2 linked regions of the Saccharomyces cerevisiae S288C genome follow. The gene in region 2 interacts genetically with the main gene of each other region. Each region holds a gene or a part of one and is shown on either strand. Other genes may lie near its edges.

What was found. Genes that interact genetically often act in the same process or in processes that back each other up.
Region 1: mutations in YML108W (region 2) and HRI1 together harm fitness more than expected from each alone (negative genetic interaction), as found in Saccharomyces cerevisiae (2 studies listed by BioGRID).

Annotation. Positions count from the first base shown.
Region 1 is NC_001144.5:726,684-732,059, reverse strand, and holds HRI1 (Hri1p), read right to left. Parts: upstream 1,236-5,376; coding exon 501-1,235; downstream 1-500. Other genes in the region: EXG1 (glucan 1,3-beta-glucosidase), read right to left, coding at 1,759-3,105; ECM38 (gamma-glutamyltransferase), read right to left, coding at 4,009-5,376. UniProt on the Saccharomyces cerevisiae protein: Unknown. Non essential.
Region 2 is NC_001145.3:51,575-57,567, reverse strand, and holds YML108W (uncharacterized protein), read right to left. Parts: upstream 2,776-5,993; coding exon 2,458-2,775; downstream 1-2,457. Other genes in the region: orotate phosphoribosyltransferase URA5, read right to left, coding at 115-795; PML39 (Pml39p), read left to right, coding at 1,299-2,303; ZDS2 (Zds2p), read right to left, coding at 3,100-5,928.

The DNA of each region.
Region 1 (5,376 bases), on a different chromosome or scaffold from region 2:
TCTATTATAGCATTAAATATCTTTAAATACATTCAAGAAATGGCGAAATTATTTCTTAGTGTTGGAATAAAAATCAACTATCATCTACTAACTAGTATTTACGTTACTAGTATATTATCATATACGGTGTTAGAAGATGACGCAAATGATGAGAAATAGTCATCTAAATTAGTGGAAGCTGAAACGCAAGGATTGATAATGTAATAGGATCAATGAATATTAACATATAAAACGATGATAATAATATTTATAGAATTGTGTAGAATTGCAGATTCCCTTTTATGGATTCCTAAATCCTCGAGGAGAACTTCTAGTATATTCTACATACCTAATATTATTGCCTTATTAAAAATGGAATCCCAACAATTATCTCAAAATTCACCAAATTTTCACTTAGGTATTTTCTTTTATAAAGTCTATCGTTATAAAAATACTATATAGATCCCATAGGTGCTTATTATAGCAGCAGAAGAAAGTAGAAAACGATTTATTCTCCTTTATTAAGCGTGATATTCAATAACTTCCCAGTTCAACCCATTGCTGGTTACAGTGGAACCTTTCTTCAAATTTTCGTAGCTTTGTGGAATTTTGTTTACTTCCTTACCGTAGCTTAATAAGAACTCAGATTTACCTGAATCTTTTTCAAGTAATCTGATGAAGTTCAAGCCTTCAATAGTGTTATTATTCTTTTGGGACAAAAACCCTTGAATCCATCTACCAATAACAATAACCAAACCATCATAAGCTTCGTCAGTAACTTTGAGGACAATTGACCTAGCATTCGACGAGAACTTCTCATTGTTTGGTGAGACGATGACTAGATCTTCTCTTGATGGGTCAACTGGTTGCCACAATTCTCTGAAAGAGACGCTTTCTTTGTCGGCACCGAATGGGTAAACAGCGCCTGTTTCCTCGACACAACCAGAATCCCAATTTTTCCAAGTGGTGTTCACTTCGCCACGATGGGTGTTTGGAACGTTCAAGTACACATTTGTATCCAACCAGAAATTGAAATCTTGAGTAACGACACCGTTTCCTTGATCATTAGCTTTAACTGTTTCGTTTGTACCGGCAAAGGCCCATTCGAAAGGAAAAGATAACTCATCACCGCTTGGCTTAACAAATGGTCTCAAGGAAATATAGTGCCCATCAGTTGAAACAGAGGATAAGGTGAATGTTCTTTCGTTTGGATGAGGACCCACTTGAAACAATAATCTTTTTAATAATGCTGGCATTGTAACTTAATTTTTTGTTTGTTGTTGTTTAAGTTCTTTTATCCTTCCTTAGATAACACCTTAAAGCTCCAGTTACAACAGCGGTGAGAATTGACTTTATATTCGGGGCACTTCCGGTTGTTTTACGAACATGTGATTCGGAAATTTTATGCAAGACGACACGGAACGGAACGTATGCCGGCGGAAAAGCTCACGTGTGAAGAAGAAAACAAAAAGAGTAAGCTGGATTTTCTTTTTCGGAGATTCTGTAGAATTTTTTTATTAGTGCAATGAGGTAAAAAGGAAACTAATATTAAATTCTGAAGGTTATGTTACATAGTTTTTATTATTATTATCGTATATTCTATAAGTGTACCATATAAAATAATGTCTTTACTTAGACTTAAGTGAGAGATCTCTGTAAAATGTTGGATAAAAAAGAGATAATGAACTAAAAGGGGTAGATAAATTAACGTTCTGTTAAGTTTTGCTGATGAAAAATAACATTAGAAAATTCAGCTAAAATGAGCGGACTGAGGGCGACTTAGTTAGAAATTGTGCCACATTGGTTTGGATACTTTCTGTCAGTCAATGGTTGAGGGAATAAACCATTGAACATCAATCTTTGAGCATCCCATTCCAAACTAGATTCTGTCTTGTAACACCAGATAATCCAACCCCCTCTCATTTCAAAGGCATCTAGTTGTGCCTCCACATAACGTCTTGTGTTTTCCTTTCTTTCGTCAGACCAGTAAGCTATATCATCGTTGTTAGCACAAGAGCCAATGTAAGAAGATGTTTGGTCACCATTGACCCAAGAACCGTCGTATCTAGCGCCGAAGCCAACACTATTCAACCATTTTGTACAATCAGTCAAAGCGGCAGCAAACTCACCACAAACAGTCCAGTGGGATTCATTCAAAACTCCGGTACCCCATTCACAAGCTACTTTAATATGTTCATCAATGGATCTTTCCAATTGATCAGAAGCAAAGACTTGGTAGTGATGATGGTCGATAGTGACACCCCAGTAGCCATCGTTTTCAGTCATGAAGTCATCCCAATAATTGTATGGTTGGAAAGCGTCATGGATGATGATAACTTGGTCACTCTTGATGTTGTTTCTCAAGTATTCGTAAGCAGGTGCCAAGTAGTCATTCTTCATTTTATCCATGTCTAGAACAGGACCCAATGGCTCATTAATCAATTCGATACCAATAACAGTGTCCAAGTATTCCTCCGCAGAGTATTTTTTCAATATGTAGTTCAAGACATTTGTAGTAACGGCCAAATTGCTGTCTTCCAAAAACTTGTATGAATCTCTCAAACCAGAGTTATCAAACCCGTTCTGCGAACCAGCGGCACCATGCAAATCAACCCAAACTTTCAAGCTGTTGTTTCTAGCCCAACCGATGGCTTGGTCTAGGTAAGATTCCTGTAGGCCGCTAACATAAGGATCATCGTCCAAAGTTTGGAAAGCCCAGTAACCGATAGGAATTCTGACAAGGTTGAAACCTTGGGAAGCAATATTAGCGAAATCTTGTTCTTGGTAGAAAGTAGACCAATGGCTCTGTAAACGGCTTTTAGCCAAATCCTTACCTAAATATTGACAGAAGTGATATTCGTCGACAGGAATTCCTTCGTCGTTGTCATCATTTGTACGGAAAGCCTCGAACAAAGATGGAGTAATGTATGGTTCAAGAAGTAACCAACCACCAATGTTGACACCACGGATTGGTTCTCCGAGGGAACCGTGGTCATAATCGTAGTATCTTTTCTTGTTCTCCTCATGAACAAATTGAATGGAAGAAGGGTCTCTTGCAGGGACTGGGGTAGCGAGTACTGATGACACAGTCAACAACGTACACAGTAACGTTTTAAGCGAAAGCATTTTAGTTGGTAATTAACTAGAAAAAGAAAGTAAACAAAAAATCAAAGGCACGTGTTATTCAAAACTTTTGGGTCCTCTCGTAAACTTTAGTTTTCTATAGTTATTTTTGACTTAGTCAATACATAATAAAAATTACTAAGAAAAGGGAGGGAGTATTTAAAACGTCTGCAAAAACATTACTTTTTCCCAAAAATCCATCCAACTTATATACATTTTTTATCATCCACGCCTTTTTATTTAAAGTGCCTTTCTCTGCAACTGCTCATATGACGATATGAGATGGCAAGTTCAAGTTTGTTACACCGCTTATTGATGTGCACACAGGTACGGAACACGCTAAAATTATAACGGCGTGCTCGAGAGAAAAACCCAACAGGGTTGGTCTGGGCATCTCCAGCAAGCCACGGTTTTAAATTGACAGTGCTTCACACTGCGGTGTTGTCTGGGGCGCCTCTGTATTTGCGGCAACGCGCCTGGTTACGGGCTTGTCTCAGGCTCGTGTGCACCGCACTGTAAACACAGGGAGGATGACTGGGTCAGGTCCCCACGGTTTATTTATAGTAAACAACAATGCGCGTATGTGTGCGTATTAATGCTATAAAAAGAAACGCGCAGTATCAAGCCATCAGATTTTTTTAATAATGGTAAATACGTATGCTGGCATCGTTCCGAAGTCGCGTCTCGGCTGCAAGGTAGGGAAACTTACTGAAAAAGGCAAAGCTCGCATGATCTGGATTTTTTGTTTTGTTTTAAGGGCGTATGCCCTTTGTTAATGAAAAGTAAATATTGATTCTTTAAAAATAAACGCAAGCCCAGTATTTATTTATATACCACAGAAGCAGGCTCCCTACATTACGTACTATTATCTTGAACTATATTACAGTACCATTCTTACCCCACATCTTAGTATACGGAGGAGATTCCTCTTTTTCTCCAATAGTCACTCACCGCATGCCATTCTCCCCTGACATTGCGTATAGCATTAACTACGCTCTTGGGAAATACTTCTTTCATCGTATATCCCATTTCCTTGAGAGTGCTTAGTACGGCTTTACCGATCATGGGGAAGCTTTCCAGTTCTATGCGGTCGGGCAGTAACTGGTGGTGTATACGTGGATAGGCTATCGTTTCCAATATAGGCATGTTATACCAGTACGTCCTCACAATTGTTTGTAAAACACTCGTAGTGATTCTTGAGCCGCCGGAAGCGCCGACCACGAGGTCTGGGATGCCTAATTCTGACAGCACAATAGTGGGTGCAGTGGATGATAGGGGTCTTTTCCCGGGCTCGGGAAAGTTGTATATGGAGGGTGCCAATTCAAAACTATTAGATTTGTTGAATTGAGCGAAATCGTCCATTTCATTATTGAAGATCACCCCGGTTTTTGGGTCGTGTACTAAGGAACCGAACAACAAGTTGATGGTGGTTGTCAAGGAAACAGCATTCCCATGTGAATCTACTATACTGAAGTGGGCAGTTCCATGCGGGTTATTGATATCGTATGCCGGATCATAAAGCGTCCAGTTTTCTAAAGTTTTAAAATTTCCGTCTTGAGAGTTTCTTTTGATTGATTTCACTGCTTTCAAAGCCCATTCTGGATCCAATACCTCTTCTATATGCTTAGGTAATGCTTCGCCTTCAAAATCGCCTAACCTGCTTCTTGCGCTTGCCATCCATTTCATGCTTTCAAGCAAATGATAGGTAGTTTCTTTTTCATAATCGCCCCCTTCTTGATTCTGGAAATTATCCATTATCCTTAACGCCGCAAGTAGTGCAGCCCCGGAACTTGAGCCGCTACTTGTTAATACGGTCATATCGTTATCAGGGATGAAATTGGCGCCCTTCCTAATTTTCATGGACAGTGGTTTAGTAACATGAACATCATACGATGAAACATCCTGCAAGTTCATTATTCCATTGTATTTTGCGACAGTATCAATCATGGATTTTGCAATCCAGTGATCGGGGTCATAAAATGGGGCCACGGAACCATTTTTAGCCAGTTCCATTAGCATGTTAGATAGTGCCGGCCTCTTGATCCAATCGCCTTCTTTCAAAACACCGTCATGGGTAGAATTCAATACAAACGACCAATCTTCCTTCAATGTCAGGAAAACATCCTCATAAAGTTCTAAAGTGGCACCGAGTGCTTCGCCTATTTGCCAACCCACGCTTCCCAGCTTTGCGACTGGTTCAATTAGATCACGCCAATCAACTTGGCCGCTACCTCTTTCTTTAAAGAGGCGATAGAGACCCATCAATTCACCTGG
Region 2 (5,993 bases):
TGAATATACGCTATTTATACACATATATAGATGAGCGGCGTGCATGTATCGTAGTAACTAAGATTAATAGTTCTTAAAAGAGATAAATAAATCATTTAATTAAAAAACTGATTTTTAAGCGGAGGCACCGTAGGTTTGAAGGTATTGTTCGATCTTGCTTTTCTCTTCTGCTGTTATTCTGCCTTCCAAATAGGTAATTATGTGAATTAAGGAGACAATGCTCAAGACTGGGATACCGTATTTTTTGCTAACAGTTTGAGTGGCGCTGAGTCCTTCTTTATCGTCAGTACTCACAACTTCCTGTCTATCAAGAGCAATTATGGAGCCAACTACCTGACCCTTGGCGTTACTGATGATCTCAAAGGCCTCGTTAATGGCAGTACCAGCAGTCATGACGTCGTCGATGATTAATATTCTCTTGTTCTCTAGGGCAGAGCCGACAATGATACCACCTTCACCATGATCTTTGGCTTCCTTTCTGTTAAAAGCGTACTGAATGTTTTGAAATTTAGAGCCACCAATCTCCGCCAATTTCACACAAACAATAGCAGCAAGTGGGATACCTTTGTAGGCAGGACCGAAAATCACATCAAATTTCAAATCAGATTGTATGATGGCAATTGCATACGCAGTAGCCAAATTGGAAAGCAATTTACCAGTATTGAACAATCCCAAATTAAAGAAATATGGCGATTCTCTACCTGATTTCAACTTGAATGAACCAAATCTTAGAGCCTGGCATTCGATGGCCAACTCTAGAAAGTTCTTTTGGTAGTCTTCCAACATAATAGGCATTTTGAATAACTTTCTTAATCTTTAATTTTTTTGTGTATCCTTCATACAATGTCAGACACAATAATACGCAACCAAAATTCCGTTAGTAGTATATCGCAGAAGTAATGCTTTATGGAAATTTTGAATGAATCTTATTTGACAAATAAAAGCCTGTTAATAATAAGAAGTGTCTTTATTCAAAAAAGGAACGTAAAGTTGGAACAATGATTGAAATACCCCACAAAATTCTCCCAAAAAAAAAAAGACAAAATGCAATTTCCTTTTGAAATGTATTCAAAAAATAAATTTGTTAAAAACCTCTGATTGATGATGAGATCAAACTACCAAACAATTGTTATCAAATCAAAATGCTCTTTGTTTTGCTTATTGAATATGGAAAATGTTTGAAAAATTTTCAAGCGCTAGTCATTCGGAACGAAAGTAACTGTCATCTTGAAATCTATGGTAAAGGAGAAATAAAACATTATTCCCCAGGAATTGACAGGAAAGTAGGGCAGTTACTAATGGAAAAGGACGCATTGGAGGTTAGACTGAAGTCTATTAGACATTCGCTGGACAAGAATACCAAACTTTTACCGGGAAAATATAGGAATACTCTAGGAGAGCGACTTATTACCAAATGGAGGTACAAGAAGAAATCCCATAATGGCAGTTCAATGTTGCCTGAAAAATGTAAGAGCCACGTGCAATTGTATGATGATTTGGTACAAGAAAGCTCTAAACATTTTGTTGGTTTCCGATTACACGATCTTCGGGCCTTGTTGAAAAGAATATGCTCCATTCAAAACTACACAAGGCATGTGCTCATTGAATGGGACGTTCGATGGGTCAATCCACTGACTCTAGCATCCAAGGGCTGGGAGCCGTACCAAAGTGCATCCCAGTCGCAAGTGCCATTTAAGTGCTGTTGTTGCCATGCCATTATGACAATTCCTTTATTAAAAAATGGCGATGATGTCGCCGATTACACCATGAAATTGAATGAAAAAATCTGGAATTCCAATATAATTGGAAATCATCTCCAAAAGTGTCCGTGGAGGGAAAATCAGGTTGATTTAAACAAAGAGTATTATTTAAGCTCACAAAACCTTATAAGGGAAATTGAAAGAATTCATACAGAAATTGACAGAATTGTTTCCGGATCAAATGAATTTAGCCTTAAAAGAAACTCTTCCCGTATATTTCATTACTTGTCTGAGAAAGAAATACAAAAATTGGCATTTTTTTTCGATTGTAAAGACTATTCTCTCGTAGGTCTGTTGCTTCTCGGCTACACGAAATTCCAGAAGGATGATCTGGTTCAATGCACGGCTTGCTTTCATCGAGCATCCCTGAAGAAGTTAGAATATACAGAATTTAACGGACACGCTCTATGGTGTCGGTATTACAACAAAGAGTTGTTGCCCACAATGTTGCTGGAGTTAATCGGCAAGGAGGACAAACTAATAACGAAATTGGGCGTGGGAGAAAGACTAAATAAATTAGAGGCTGTTCTACAAACTTTATAAATTAGATGTAATACATTATCCAAATTCTCATATGCTTGTATATGCCCCCATGCTGATGCGCAGATTCTGTCACTCTCTCTTTAAATTACGTGCACATATGCATACGCAACAGTCACGTTATATTCATGCAAAAAACCGAAGCAACATCATTATTTCAGTTATTCTCTTCGACAAATTTCTTTACTTTTTCGACAACCTCTTCAATTTCCTTATCTAGCATAAGTACAATTAAACCATCGCTACTAATTTCGTATTTGATATGACCTTCGTTCGGTATACATATTTCGGCATCGAACTTATCAAACCAGGTATTTAATTCGTCCAGTTCGTCAACATTAAATGGAAGTATCAACTCGTCAACAAATTCATGCATTTTTCCCGGCTTACCTTTCAAAAATTTTTCATCTTCTTTATTTATCTTGGTGTCGTCTTCTAGTAAGACGAGCATCCTATAAGTATTACTCTTGGACATTTCGTTTTTCTCTTTCGTCTTAGTGTAGTACGAGATAGAATTCAACCGCAAGGTAGCCTTGCTGTATTGGACAGATCATTCGAATTTGTTCCAAATAGGATGAGATGAGGTCGGCTTTTCTTCATTCTCGCTAGAAAATTTAAAAAAAAAGAAAAAAATAATTACATAAATATATATTTATATGTATATACTGTAGTCCTTCCTTGCATGAAAAGACGACGTTTTTCGTGATAATAAGAAGTTTGACACTAAAAGGGCATCCTTACAATACTTGAAATATGTGGCCTTATATAGGTATCTATCAATCTTGTAAACAGTTATGAGTTAAATGTCTGGAATTAAGATTGTGCCATCAGAATCATTTTTGTCCATCATTCCCAAGGCAGAATCACCATTGAAGGCTATATCTCCAGTGCCCACCTGCTCCATGTATAAGGTATGATTGACTAAATTCAAGTAGGAGTACATGAAGTTACTTAGCAATACTTGTTGTCTTAATTCCCTCCCGGGATCGCTAAGCTTCAGATGGCTGAGTCTGTAAATAGCCCTTTCAACATTAATTCCTAGACGATGGTCAAACATAATCACTGTAGAGTTGGTTATCATTGGTAATGGGAATCCAAAAGCACTGTCTGTGAATTTTATTGGAGCGTTTGAGTAATCTGGTTTAACGACATCTTCAAATGTCAATTTTCTTGGAGGCAAAGTTGAGATTTGAGGGGCAGTAGGTGAAGTGTTGTCTTCTCTCTCTGCTCCTATATCCTCTTCTAGTCCAGCTGTCGTATCTCTACTGATACTAGAGTGCACTTCGACGTCGTAGTTTACATCACCACCACTAATATCAAATGAATCGTCGCCATCTAACTCGCTTATAGTTTCCACCACAAATTCAGAACTGTGGCTAGTATGGCTGTCAGGAAGAAGGGTGGAAGCATTTGAACTTCTCACTTCTGGTTCAATGACGCTTGCTGTATCTATATCTTCGGTGGTAATTGTTTTGGTGGGGGATGAAGGGCGTTCAACTTCCGCTTCTTGGGGCTTTTTCTTGGGACTTTTCCTGAATTTTGATAAACTCGAATGCGAAGCCTTCTTTTTCAGTTCTTTTTTAACACTTTTTTTGATTACTTTCACATCTGATTTGCAGGTACCATTATGTTGTTTTCTTTTGAATAATTTGGCAAGCCTTTTCTCCAAGGAATTTTTCTTATGTGTACTGGCTTGGGTGTCAGTAGGCAGTTCTACCTTTTTCTCCACGACTGCCGGTGCAGTAGGCTTAGATGGCTGGGATTCAGATGAAGAAACGACTGAAGGAGTGATTACCACGGATTTTGCTTCTTCAGAATGTATCTGGAAAATTGGCGAATGTCTATTTTTGGAATGGTTTATTCTTTCAGAGGCACGTTTGGTAGATTTCGCTCTCCTCGATACACTCAAGTTAACAAAGTCAGCTTTTTCATTGTCCACACATTCTTCATCGTCTTCATCATCTGTAAGCTGTTGATAAGTTTGTTCATTAGCGTTCAAACTTCCATTGCTAGAATTCAACCATGACCAGCCATGATTTGCTTCGCTGTTATTGGTATTTGATTTTTCACTCGAGCTAACGTGCTGATCCAATTTTTCAGAAATCATCGAACCAGTGTTATGCGGCTTTATTAAAACGCTGTTGTTAGAACTATCTGTAGATAAAAGACTGCTCTCTTGAGAAATAGATGCATGTGTCAAATCTTCTTCATCCGAATAGTAGTTGGTGCTATCAACGTATTTCTCATTTTCGGTACTCCAATCAGTACTTGTTCTTCTGTAATGGTCGAAAATCTCGTGAAAATCATTCAATGATGCTTGCTCCTGAGGCACTTGTGTGTAGGAGGCAGGCGATGATGCACTTCTGCGATTGTCATTAGTTTGTATATTCATTAGGCTATTGAGTTTTACCGCCTGTGGAAGGCTACTACCCTCTAGTCTGATCTTATATGTGTTGAATTTAGACCTCCTTAGAGAAGATCTCTCTGGTATGGTAAGTCCAGTTTCATTAAACATATTTGATGCAAATTCGTTATCATTTTCAGTGTGATTGCCGTTCAAATGAAGACTTTCGTTGGTAAATGACCCTGACATGCTCAAGCTTCTGGCTAAAGTCACCGCATCTGAGTCCGTTAAACCGGCATTATTGGAAATCTTAGTAAGCTCTTCAGTAATTTCTTTCAAAGATACAGATCTTATGGTTTTGATGTCAGATGAGGATATTCGCTTATCCACTTGTATTTCTCCTTCTTGTGGTTTGTCTGCAAGGGGAGGTTCGTCATCAAACTTGGTATAAGATGTCTTCAACCGAGAAGGCCTTCTAACTACAGAGCCCGTGCGTTTTCTATTCGAAATTACATGATTGTTACCCAGTTCTAATTTGTTTTCATCAATGTCTTGATTTGTGCTTATTTGAATGTTTTGTAAAGTGTCCTGGATCAATTCCAAATAGTTTTCGGGCTTAACGTTAGGATGTTGGTCAGCGGGCACCCACAAAAGGTTTTGAGTTAAATCAACCATTTTTGAATCGTGGTCGTTCTCCACATCCAATACAACATCGTGAGCCAATGTCTTTACTCCACTGAGCCTTCTGTTCCTCGACGTTACTCTTGCTGAAGATGAAGTGGATGAAGAAGCATTACGGATGATTTTTTCCTTCTCCAATGTTTCTTCATCATGCAAATACTCTGTTTGAGTGATATCTATACTGTCGTCGACATTAGTAGCATCGCCCTCTTCATATGCATCATTGTCTTCGCTCCCTTGTTCTTCCTTTTGTTCTGATCGTATAATGTTCTCTTCATGGAGCGATTCTTGAAGGGATTCCTTTGAGGAATCTGAAGAATATGAGTTTCTACTGTTCACTTTGAACTCTAGCTCAGGGTCAATTACCAAATCCATTGAACCAATCGACAATCGCTTCAAATTTTTCACATTCTGAATTTCTGTATCTAAAGACTTGGCAGCAATTAACACGTCAGATTTCCTCTTCTCAAAAAGCTCCTTCTTGGACAGCTGTGTCTTCCTCATTCGCCTCATTTGAATATTATTATTACTGTCCGTACCACCACTACTGTTTTCTACAGTATTATGGCCATCTTTGTTTTGCATATCTTCCATCAGTACCATAAAATTCTAATTTAAATTCAGTCTATAGTGCAAACGTGATCAATGTAAAGTATACGATACTACTA